Linked DNA regions of Canis lupus familiaris. The protein of the gene in region 1 purifies or fractionates together with the protein of each later gene. This does not show direct contact. Links are inferred from orthologs where the notes say so. Each region holds a gene or a part of one and is shown on either strand. Other genes may lie near its edges.

The links. Proteins that work in one complex are often made in the same cells at the same time.
Region 2: the proteins of CDK16 (region 1) and CCNY purify together in Homo sapiens (affinity purification with mass spectrometry; 3 studies listed by BioGRID and IntAct, counting the BioPlex papers as one, with this or other methods). This does not show direct contact. The link is inferred for Canis lupus familiaris from reciprocal best matches to the Homo sapiens genes CDK16 and CCNY.

Annotation. Positions count from the first base shown.
Region 1 is NC_049260.1:41,021,768-41,025,962, reverse strand, and holds the end of CDK16 (cyclin-dependent kinase 16), read right to left. Parts: intron 4,066-4,195; coding exon 3,975-4,065; intron 1,601-3,974; coding exon 1,523-1,600; intron 1,438-1,522; coding exon 1,400-1,437; 3' UTR 1,162-1,399; downstream 1-1,161. UniProt on the Homo sapiens protein: Protein kinase that plays a role in vesicle-mediated transport processes and exocytosis. Regulates GH1 release by brain neurons. Phosphorylates NSF, and thereby regulates NSF oligomerization. Required for normal spermatogenesis.
Region 2 is NC_049223.1:1,837,738-1,843,662, reverse strand, and holds the start of CCNY (cyclin-Y), read left to right. Parts: upstream 1-2,037; 5' UTR 2,038-2,091; coding exon 2,092-2,245; intron 2,246-5,925. UniProt on the Homo sapiens protein: Positive regulatory subunit of the cyclin-dependent kinases CDK14/PFTK1 and CDK16.

The sequences.
Region 1 (4,195 bases):
CTGGCCCATCTCAGTGCTCTCCTAGATGTCGGGGGCCAGGTATGAATTCTCCAAGGTCCTAGAACTCACCTTGGACTGAGCCCACCCCCACCCCTGCAGGGACTTGCAATCAGGTTTTTCACTTTAGACTTTTTAATATTTCATACAGCGATTATGGTGCATTCAGGAACCCAACCCCCCAAACCCCACTAGGAGGGCCCCCACCCCAGCCCTCCCACCCCATTTGAGGGCCCCAGGTTTAGAGTGGAGGACGGGGAGGTAATCACCCATCTGGGACTGACCCCAGAGACTGTCCCTGCCCTGCCTCACCCTCCCCAGGGGTTAGGGGATAATGCCTGGGCACAGACCCCCATGCACCCCTCTGCCCCTGCTTGTGCACATATACACACTATGGCTCCTTGAAGAGTTGGTCAGTTCCTGGCAGGGCCCCTACTCAACAGCACCGAGTGGGACAGGGGCAGGAGGGTTGGGCTAAGGAGACCCTGAGAAGGAAGGAGGCCCCAGCTGTGGGACTGCAGGAAGGAAAGAGTGGGGGCCCCCCCCACCTCATCCACCTCCCAGAGAGTCTCCCGTAGTCCCCAGGTCCCCCTGCTGCTGGGGATGGCAGGTGGGGGTGGGGTGGGGTAGGAAGGCGAATGGTCGAGGCATGCTTTCCCTTAGCCAACCCCAGGGTCTAGTGATGGTCAGGGTTCCAAATAGGGGCTGTGTCCCTGCCTTGGAAAGGCTGAGAGCGGGGCTTCATTGCACAAAATACTGTGGGAGGGCCACACGCAGGGGGTGGGGCCCAGCCAGTCTGTATACAGAGATATTGCATTTAAAAAATGAAAACCTCATTTAAAATAATTAAAAAACGACAATGAGTGAAACAAACAAACAAAAAAAAAGCCCACACAACATGAGGCAAGTGGGGCAGGCAGGAAAGCAGGCAAGGGAAGCCTCAGACCCAAGGCATTGCCAGATCCTGTCTGAGCCGAGATCCCCAGCCTGGACTAGCTCCGGACCCCTGGCTGGCCGTCGGGTAGCGGTCAGTGGTCCTGGGGGAGGATATGATGGGGAAGAGGGGTAGGCCTGGCCTCAGTGTGGGAGGCTGGCACAACCATGCTGTCCGCCGGCAACTACTGAGACTGAGACAGAGACAGACAGACAGACAGACAAACCAGGCGAAGGAGCGATGAGAGCTTTGTTAGCACCCAGCAGACAGGCCAATGGGTGGGCTGACAGGCCAATGGTCGGGTGTTCGGACAGGCAGCAGGGAACATGTGGGCAGGCGAGCATGAGTCAGGCAGATAGGCAGGCAGCAAGCAAGAAGGATGCAGTTGGGGGCTGCCCTGTGAGGGGAGTGGCATCCCTCCAGCTGCTGCTGCCTGCTGGGGCCTCGGTTTGTGGCTTAGAACTCAGCTTAGAACTCGGTGTCCACCACGCGGAAAGCTGGCCTGCCTGCAGGGGAAAGCAGAGCGGATGGCTGTTGGTAGGTAAGCAAGTAGGTGGCTGGGGCAGGGAAAGAGGGCGAGGCCACACCTACCCGAGTCAGGCATTGACGAAGACCGAAGGCTGGCCTCCTTTTGTAGCTGGATCTCCTTTAGTGCAAATATGGAAGTAGCTGTGGGTAGAAGACAGACCGTGGAAAATGACCCATAGGCCCATCCAGGATCACTGCCCACATGGCCCTATTGGAATTACCAAAAATTGCCTTTTCTTTGAGAGGCATGGCTTTCACCTGTCAAATAATCCTTACACACAAACCAGCTACAACTAGGGAATATGGATTATTACAGGACACTGGGAAATCAGTAATTTTGTCAAGTGTGATAACAGTGTTGCAATTACCATCTGTTGAGTCCAGGTGATGAACACTGGGATTTGATTTAGACTAAACCACTGGGGAGATACAGGAAGTGGGCCAATTTTTTAAAGCTATAATAACGATAGTTATTAAATGTTTGAGATACATGCTAAATTTATAGATGAATGATATATCTGGGATCTGATTCAAAATAATCAGAGGGAATATAGATAAAACTAGATTGGCCACAAGTTGATGAGATGTTAGAGTACTTGGGGACTCACAGTATTTCATCTAATATATAAATAAGTATCATTTATTTTCTAAAATAAGATTTTGAGAGAAAGCAAGCGAGTGAGCAAGAGAAAGAGAAGTGTGGAGAGGGGCAGAGAGGGAAGGAGGGAGGCAGAAGGACAAGCAGATTCCATGCAGAGCATAGAGACTGATGTGGTGCTCACAACCCTGAGATCACGACCTGAGCCAAAACCAAGAGCTGGACGCTTAACCAACTGACCCACCCAAGGGCCTCTATTTAATTTTTTTCAAGTAATCTCTTCACCCAACATGAGACTCAAACTTACAACCCCAAGATCAAGAGTCCTAGCTCCACTGACTGAATCAGCCAAGCACCCCTAAATATATATAATTTTAAAGTGTCCATATTAAGAAGTTTTTTTAAATCAGGCATGAAGGGGCACTTGGGTGGCACAGTCAGTTTAGCATCAGACCCTTGGTTTTGGTTCAGGTCCTGATCTCAGGGTCCTGAAATTGAGCCCCGTGTTGGGCTGTGTGCTCAGCATGGAGACTGTTTAAGATTCTTTCCTTATATTTATGTCCCTCCCCACTGCCTACTCTCTCTTTCTCCCTCTAAAATAAATAAATCTTTAGAGTGCCTGGTGGCTCAGTCAGTTAAGTGTCCAACTCTTGGTTTCGGCTCAGGTCACGATCTCAGGATCCTAGGATCAAGACCCAGTTGGGCTCCATGCTTAGCTGGGAGTTCGTTTGAGGATTTCTCTCCCTCTTCCCCTCCACTTGCTTGCTCACTCTTGTCCTCTCTAAAATAAATAAATAAATCTTTTTTTTTAAATCAAGTATAAAAAGAGAATACCCTGTGTGATTCCATTTCTGTAGAGTACAAGGATGGGGAAAACTTATCTATGCTGTTAGAAATCCAACTAGTGGGGATACCTGGGTGGCTCAGTGGTTGAGCATCTGCCTTTGGCTCAGGTTGTGATCCCGGGGTCCTGGGATCGAGTCCCACATCGGGCTCCTTCCATGAAGCCTGTTTCTCCCTCTGCCTATGTCTCTGCCTCTCTCAGCTTCTCATGAATAAATAAATAAAATCTTAAAAAAAAGTCCAAATAGGGGTAACCCTTAAGAAGAGGCTAGGAATACCTAAAGCAAACAAGAGGGCACTTCAAGGGAGCTTCTCATATCCTTTCATATTTTTTCTCTCCTTTTTTAAAGATTTAATAAATTCATGTGTGAGAATGAGCAAGAGAGCAATGAGGAGAAAGCACAAGCTGAAGGAGGGGCAGAGGGAGAGGGAGGAGCAGACTCCCCATTGAGCAGGGAGCTCAATATGGGACTTGATCCCAGGACCCTGGGATCATGACCTGAGCTGGAGGCAGATCTTAACCAACTGAGCCACTCAGGTACCCTCACATCCTATTTCTTGACCTGTATGCCAGTTACATGGGTGTGTTTAGTTTGTGAAAATTCACTGTGCTGTGTATACTTATGACCTGTGCATTTCTCAATATGTATTTTTTTTAAAGATTTTATTTAGAGAAATAAATTCATGAGAGAAAGAGAAAGAGAGGCAGAGACACAGGCAGAGGGAGAAGCAGGCTCCTTGCAGGGAGCCCAATGTGGGACTTGATCCCAGGACTCCAAGATCACGCCCTGGGCCAAAGGCAGGCGCTAAACTGCTGAGCCACCCAGGGATCCCTCAATATGTATTTTATAAAAAAATATTTACAAAAAAAAGGGAAAGTGATGTTGCATCTATTTTCATGTAGATTTAAAAATTTCCATGAAAGGTAAAAAGTAACTGAAAGCTAAATAGTTTTTGTAATAAACACACCACACTTGTGAACAAGGATGTGCCCCCTCAGAGATGACCTAGCCAGAGCCCTGCACAATCTGCCCCATGTCTTGTTCCCCACACCCCCCTACCAGTTCCACTCACTGTCAGGAAGTTTGTGGATCCGCTCCCCCAGACTGAGGAAGAATGGATGTTTCATGGCATCCTCCGCGGAGATCCGATTGCGACCTTCAAACTGAGTAGGGGAAAGAGGGATAGGGGCAGGGGCGGTGGCAGCACTGGTGGTGTATTGACACCTTCAACAAGTAGGCCTCTCTTCCTCCCCACCCCAGACCCTCCCCCTGGAGCTCCCTGTCTCCCCACAC
Region 2 (5,925 bases), on another chromosome or scaffold:
AAAGCCTCAGGTAAGAAGTCCACACGTTGCTGATGATGTATTAGTTTCCGCAATCCTTTTCTTCCCTTTCAGTGCTTGCATCTATCACTGACTTGTACTGGGACCCTGGGCAAATCGAGGCGCTTCATCTTTTTGGGCTTCAAGTATCCCCAGATATAAATGAAGAGGGTTGCACCGTATTTTTTGTGTTCACAGCCATTTTTTCCCCTGAGTCTCTCCTGACTTGCTCACTGACTATTTGGAAAGAATGGGAAGATTATTTCTGCACCCTGAGGAGGTCTTTGTGGGGTGCTGGGAGGGCATGGAGCCCGCCAACCGTGGGCCAGGCACGTCCCATCGCGTCCCTTGATCTCCGCTCACACGCTCAGGCTACGCTGGTCTCCGCAAGACGCACTCAGCAGCCCTGGAAAGTGCAGGACAGCGCCCGTTAGCGGTCCCGGTCCGCACGTTAACTTCCCACTGCGGCTACTTCGACAGGAGTGTGGCCCGGGAACCCCCAAGATCTACCCCACCCTCTAAAACAAGGTCAGAACTCAAAGTAGACGCGAGAAATCCCAAATCAGGGTCCCGTTTCCTTTTAAATGCTTAAAACAAAACAGGCCAAACAAGACAACCCCTTTCCCGCCGGTGTGCGAGACAGCCTTCGCGGCCCCAGCCCCTCCCTACCGCGGCCCGCCGCCCGCCGCCCGCCGCCCGGCTCCGTCCCCCGCCCCACCCCCTCGCGGCGCTCCGGCGCACCCCTCCCCTCCCCTCCCCCACTGCGCCCCCAGCCCCTCCTCCGGCTCCGTCCTCGCCCCGCCCCCCCGCGGCACCCCGGCGCACCCCTTCCCCTCCCCTCCCCCACTGCGCCCCCAGCTCCTCCTCCGGCTCCGTCCCTCGCCCCGCCCCCCCGCGGCGCCCCGGCGCACCCCTCCCCTCCCCCACTGCGCCCCCAGCCCCTCCTCCGGCTCCGTCCTCGCCCCGCCCCCCCCCGCGGCACCCCGGCGCACCCCTCCCCTCCCCTCCCCCACTGCGCCCCCAGCCCCTCCTCCGGCTCCGTCCCCGCCCCGCCCCCCCCGCGGCACCCCGGCGCACCCCTCCCCTCCCCCACTGCGCCCCCAGCCCCTCCTCCGGCTCCGTCCCCGCCCCGCCCCCCCGCGGCACCCCGGCGCACCCCTCCCCTCCCCTCCCCCACTGCGCCCCCAGCCCCTCCTCCGGCTCCGTCCCCCCTATCCGCGGCCCCCGGGGACCCGGCCGGGCCCAGGGCGGCGCAGGCCCGCCGCGCACTTCGGGTCCCCGGGGAGGGCTCGGGGGAGGTGGAAGACGCCGAGAGCGGAGCTCCCACCGGCTGGGTCTGCGGCCCCCGCGCCCGCCTGCCCGAGGGCGGCCCCGACCCCTGCTCCGTACTCGGCGCGCCGCCTCCCTCGGCCGCCCATCCGCTTCCAGGGCAGAGGGAAGAGGCGGCGACCGGGCGGGGCGGGCGCCGTAGGGGGCGGGGGCGGGGGCGGGCATCCTCGCTCGCCGCGCGGGGCTCCCCGGCTCCCGGCTCCCGGCTCCCCGCGCCCCGCGCCCCGCGCCCCGCCCGAGGGCCGCACCGACGCCCGCCCGCCGGCCCTTCCGCCCTCACGAACTCGCGTCTCCCTCGCTTGAACCGGAAGCTGTTCGTGGGCCGCCGCCGCCGCCGCCGGAGACCCGGGCGCCGACCGGGAAGCGCGGGGGGTGAGGCGGCCTGCGCGGCGCCGCCCGCCATGGCCGCGGCGGGGTGAGCCGGGCTCGGCGGCCGCAGTCGCGCGGACCCGAGCGCTCCTCCGCCGCGGACAGGCCCGCGGGACTTGGGCGGGCGCGCAGCGAGGCAGGGGGGAGCCGGGAGCCGCCCGCTCGTCGCCGCCGCCGCCGCCGCCGCCGCCCATGGCGAGGACCCGCCGCCGCCGCCGCCGCTGCTGACCCGGGGGCCGGCCGCCGCTTCCGCCCCCTCCCGCGGCGGCGGGCGGGCCTCCCCTCCTCGCGCCCGCCGCCCGCCGCCCGCCGCCCGCGCCCCGCGCCCCGCGCCCCGCGCCCCGCGCCGGGGGACCGGGAGGAAGGCGAGAGCCGCAGGAGCCGGGGCCGCCGAAGATGGGGAACACTACCTCGTGCTGCGTGTCGTCCAGCCCCAAGCTCCGCAGGAATGCCCACTCCCGGCTGGAGTCCTACCGGCCCGACGCGGACCTGAGCCGCGAGGACACGGGCTGCAACCTGCAGCACATCAGCGACCGGGAGAACATCGACGGTGAGCCTCGCCAGCGCCGCGCCTCTGCCTGCGCCCCGGAGTCCGCAGGGCAGGACCGGGTCTTCGCCCCCGGGCCCCCCGGCCCCCCGGCCCCCCCGGCCCCCGAGACCCCGAGGCCCCGAGGCCCGAGGCCCCGAGCGGGCGGCTCGGGAGTAGCGCGGGGCGGGGGCGCAGGTGGAGAGGCGGCGCGAGCTGGCCGCGCTCCAGCCGAGAGCGGCGGTGCTGGGCTGGGGGCGGCCCGAGAGCCTGCGGGCCCCGCACGCCGAGTTCTTCTCGTTCGTCCTTTGGGAGGCGGAAGGACTGGATGATGTTTGGCGGAAATGAGTGAATCCCTTTTCGGAATCAGTCTCTACCTAGAGTGGGGAGAACAGGGTTGGCGTGTATCGGCTTCCCCCGGAAACTTACAGATTGACCCCATTGGGCAGCTCCTTATTTCCGTTAAAAACTTAATTTTTTTTTTTTTTTTTTTTTTGTGGCGGGGAGGTATGTGCAGGATTGGAGTGAAATAGAGTCACCTGAATACTTAAAACACACACACAGCAAACTCAATTATTATCAGAATGGTTTGGAGACAGCTTTGGGTTGTCACCCGGTTTTTGCTTGGCGCAGAATGACTGTCCTATGGATTTCTGATTGAGCTGAGTGATGTTCGGACTAGTGTTTGTAAGGGAAGATAAGGGGCTGATCACTGCACCTGGTAATGTGTATTTATATTATTGGTTCCACAGTATCTTCCTTAGTACTAATTTATCCTTAAGCTACCTGGCTTATCATGGATAGGTAGTTTATGCATCATGCTTGAATTTACATAATTTTCAACTTAAAATGTGAACTTGGAAGTATATTCTCATGCAACGTGATTTTCTTGTTTTAACCCCCAAATCTTCATACAGTTGGTGTAGTTCAACTAAGATGAAAAATTTCTTGTGTGAATGAATTGACACAACTCTATTACAAGTCAGCTTTAGGATGGAGAATTCCCTCTAGTCTGGAAAACCAAATTTAAACTCTGCTAAAGGAAAGAATTTTCTCATTGTTTGGCCTCTTAATTTTTTCTAAAGAGTTATGTCATCTCTGCAGGACAGCAACTTTATTAAAGGAGTACTGTATCTTAAAGGCACTAATGTAACATCTGGTTTATAGTAGGCACTTAGTAATTAGGGTTCCGTGTGATATTTCTGGTGTAGTTATAATAGATTTCCATTATCTTAACCTACTCTTTAGATGTCTTTGAACTACAGTTATACTTTAATGCATTTAAAGTCGTCTAGAAGGGTATTAAAGTCTGGACTGTCTTGATTATTGGTATGGTCCAAGCAGTTGAAAGAAATGTGTGGTATATAGTAAAGGTTTTAATAAGTATTATATTTTAAAGGAATGAATGAATACAGGAGTTTATTATAGAAAGCCATTACCGAGTCTTATACAACGCTGACAGGCAAAAACATTTGGAAATAATTTCTCCATGCTGTGCACTAATATTGGGAGGAAGCTTTATGTTTTAAATACAAATTTAAAAAATACAAAAGGAAGATGTACATTTCTTAGAGCCAAGCTGCATGCTATTACTGACTATAGTAAGGAAATGAGAGGAAAAAAAGTAATTATAACCAGGTATTTGGCACTACGTCTTAAAGGATTTTTTTTTTTAATTTTTATTTATTTATGATAGTCACACACAGAGAGAGAGAGAGAGGCAGAGACATAGGCAGAGGGAGAAGCAGGCTCCATGCACCGGGAGCCCGATGTGGGATTCGATCCCGGGTCTCCAGGATCGCACCCTGGGCCAAAGGCAGGCGCCAAACCGCTGCGCCACCCAGGGATCCCCTGGCACTACGTCTTAGAAGGATTTTGCTAGACAAAAAGAGAATAGTATTGTGTGTTCTTTCATTTGAAAGAAATCTAAGATTTGGTCTCAAGTAGTTTTGAGAAAACTTCAGAGGACCACCAAATCTGGTTTTGGAATTTCAGGATAGTTTAAGACACTCTCGCACATGTTAAAAAGATTTCTAATCTAGGCTTGTACTGTCCTCTTGCTCCAGAACTTAGTTCATATGATGATGTTAGTTTATTTATTTATTTTTAAAAAAAGATTTTATTTGTTTATTCATGAGAATACACAGAGAGGAGAGAGAGAGAGAGAGAGAGAGAGAGAGAGAGAGGCAGAGACACAGGCAGAGGGAGAAGCAGGCTCCATGCAGGGAGCTCGACTCAGAACTCGATCCCGGGTCTCCAGGATCACGCCCTGGGCTGAAGGCGCCGCTAAACTGCTGAGCCACCCGGGCTGCCCTGATGATGTTAGTTTAAACCGAAATACTAATTCACATTTATTTATTTATCTACTCATTCATTCATGGGAGACAGAGAGAGGCAGAGACATAGGCAGAGGGAGAAGCAGGCTCCCTGCATGGAACCCAATGTGGGACTCCATCCCAGGACCCTGCCATCATGCCCGAGCCAAAGGCAGACGCTCAACCATTGAGCCACACAGGCATCCCCTAATCTACTATTTAAACGATATTTTCTCTGCCAAATTCAATAAATAATACTTATAGGATTTACCTATATATGTTTCTCAACATTGGTTTCAATTACACCAGAAATCTAGGACTGGGCCTTGGTGTTAGTATGTTTAAAGCTCTCCAGGTAATTCGAAGATATAGGTAGGATTGAGAATCCCTGGCTGGATAAGTCTGTTGTTCAGGGACATTTTCCATAGAAATTCATTCAGTATCAAGCTGGGAGAAGAGAACAGATTTAAGTTAAATAGCATATAGAAATAGCATATAGGTATAGATTTTAACTTCTGAATTATATTGATAGATGATTAGTAAACATTTAAAAACTACTACTGAAGCATTCTTTATTCTAGTATATAACACCTGAAGTGCTCAAGTACCATCTTTATTCCTAAAGACATCTCAGACAGATAGAATTGAAGATTCAGAGGAGTTCATGGGGCTTCTGTGATAGGTCAGTTTCTTAAAATCACAGAGGCATAAGGTTTGAATTTATGTTTTCCCTGCTCAAAACACAATGGGTAATATTTGTCCTATAGTGTTTCAGTGACTGAGTCAGGGCAGTTAGGGCAGTTAGGTTTCTATGACACCTACCAGCAACTTGTCCTGTCTTTGTACTCAAAGTACAAAGTACTTTGTGGTGTTAGGTAATTCATGTTTTTGGAAATGTATATGGGACTCATCAACTAACTCCCTAGGTATTTCTTATAAAATTATTCTGGGATTGAGAAATAACAAAAAGACTTAACGACAGTGGTAGTAATGCTTGCAGCCCTTAGATATTGTTTACTTTGTGCCAGATGCTGCTCTGCTTGTTAGTATTCACAATAACCCTAGGATAATATTGTCCTTTCTTTAAGACAAAAAGTGAGGCAGAGAGAGGAGAAATGACTTGCCCAAAGTCATATGGTCAGTAATTGACACATAGAAACTTCCCATTGTTGCTTGATTAGCTATCAAACATTAATTAGTCCTGGGGTTGCTTTCTAGGGTAAAGTGTGTGTCCTTGCAGTCTTAGCCACAGTTTCTCTGAAAAGAAACATCTATCTTCAATAGACTGGTCTTCCCCGATTAGATTATTTCTAGGGGATCCCTGGGTGGCGCAGCGGTTTGGCGCCTGCCTTTGGCCCAGGGCGCGATCCTGGAGACCCGGGATCGAGT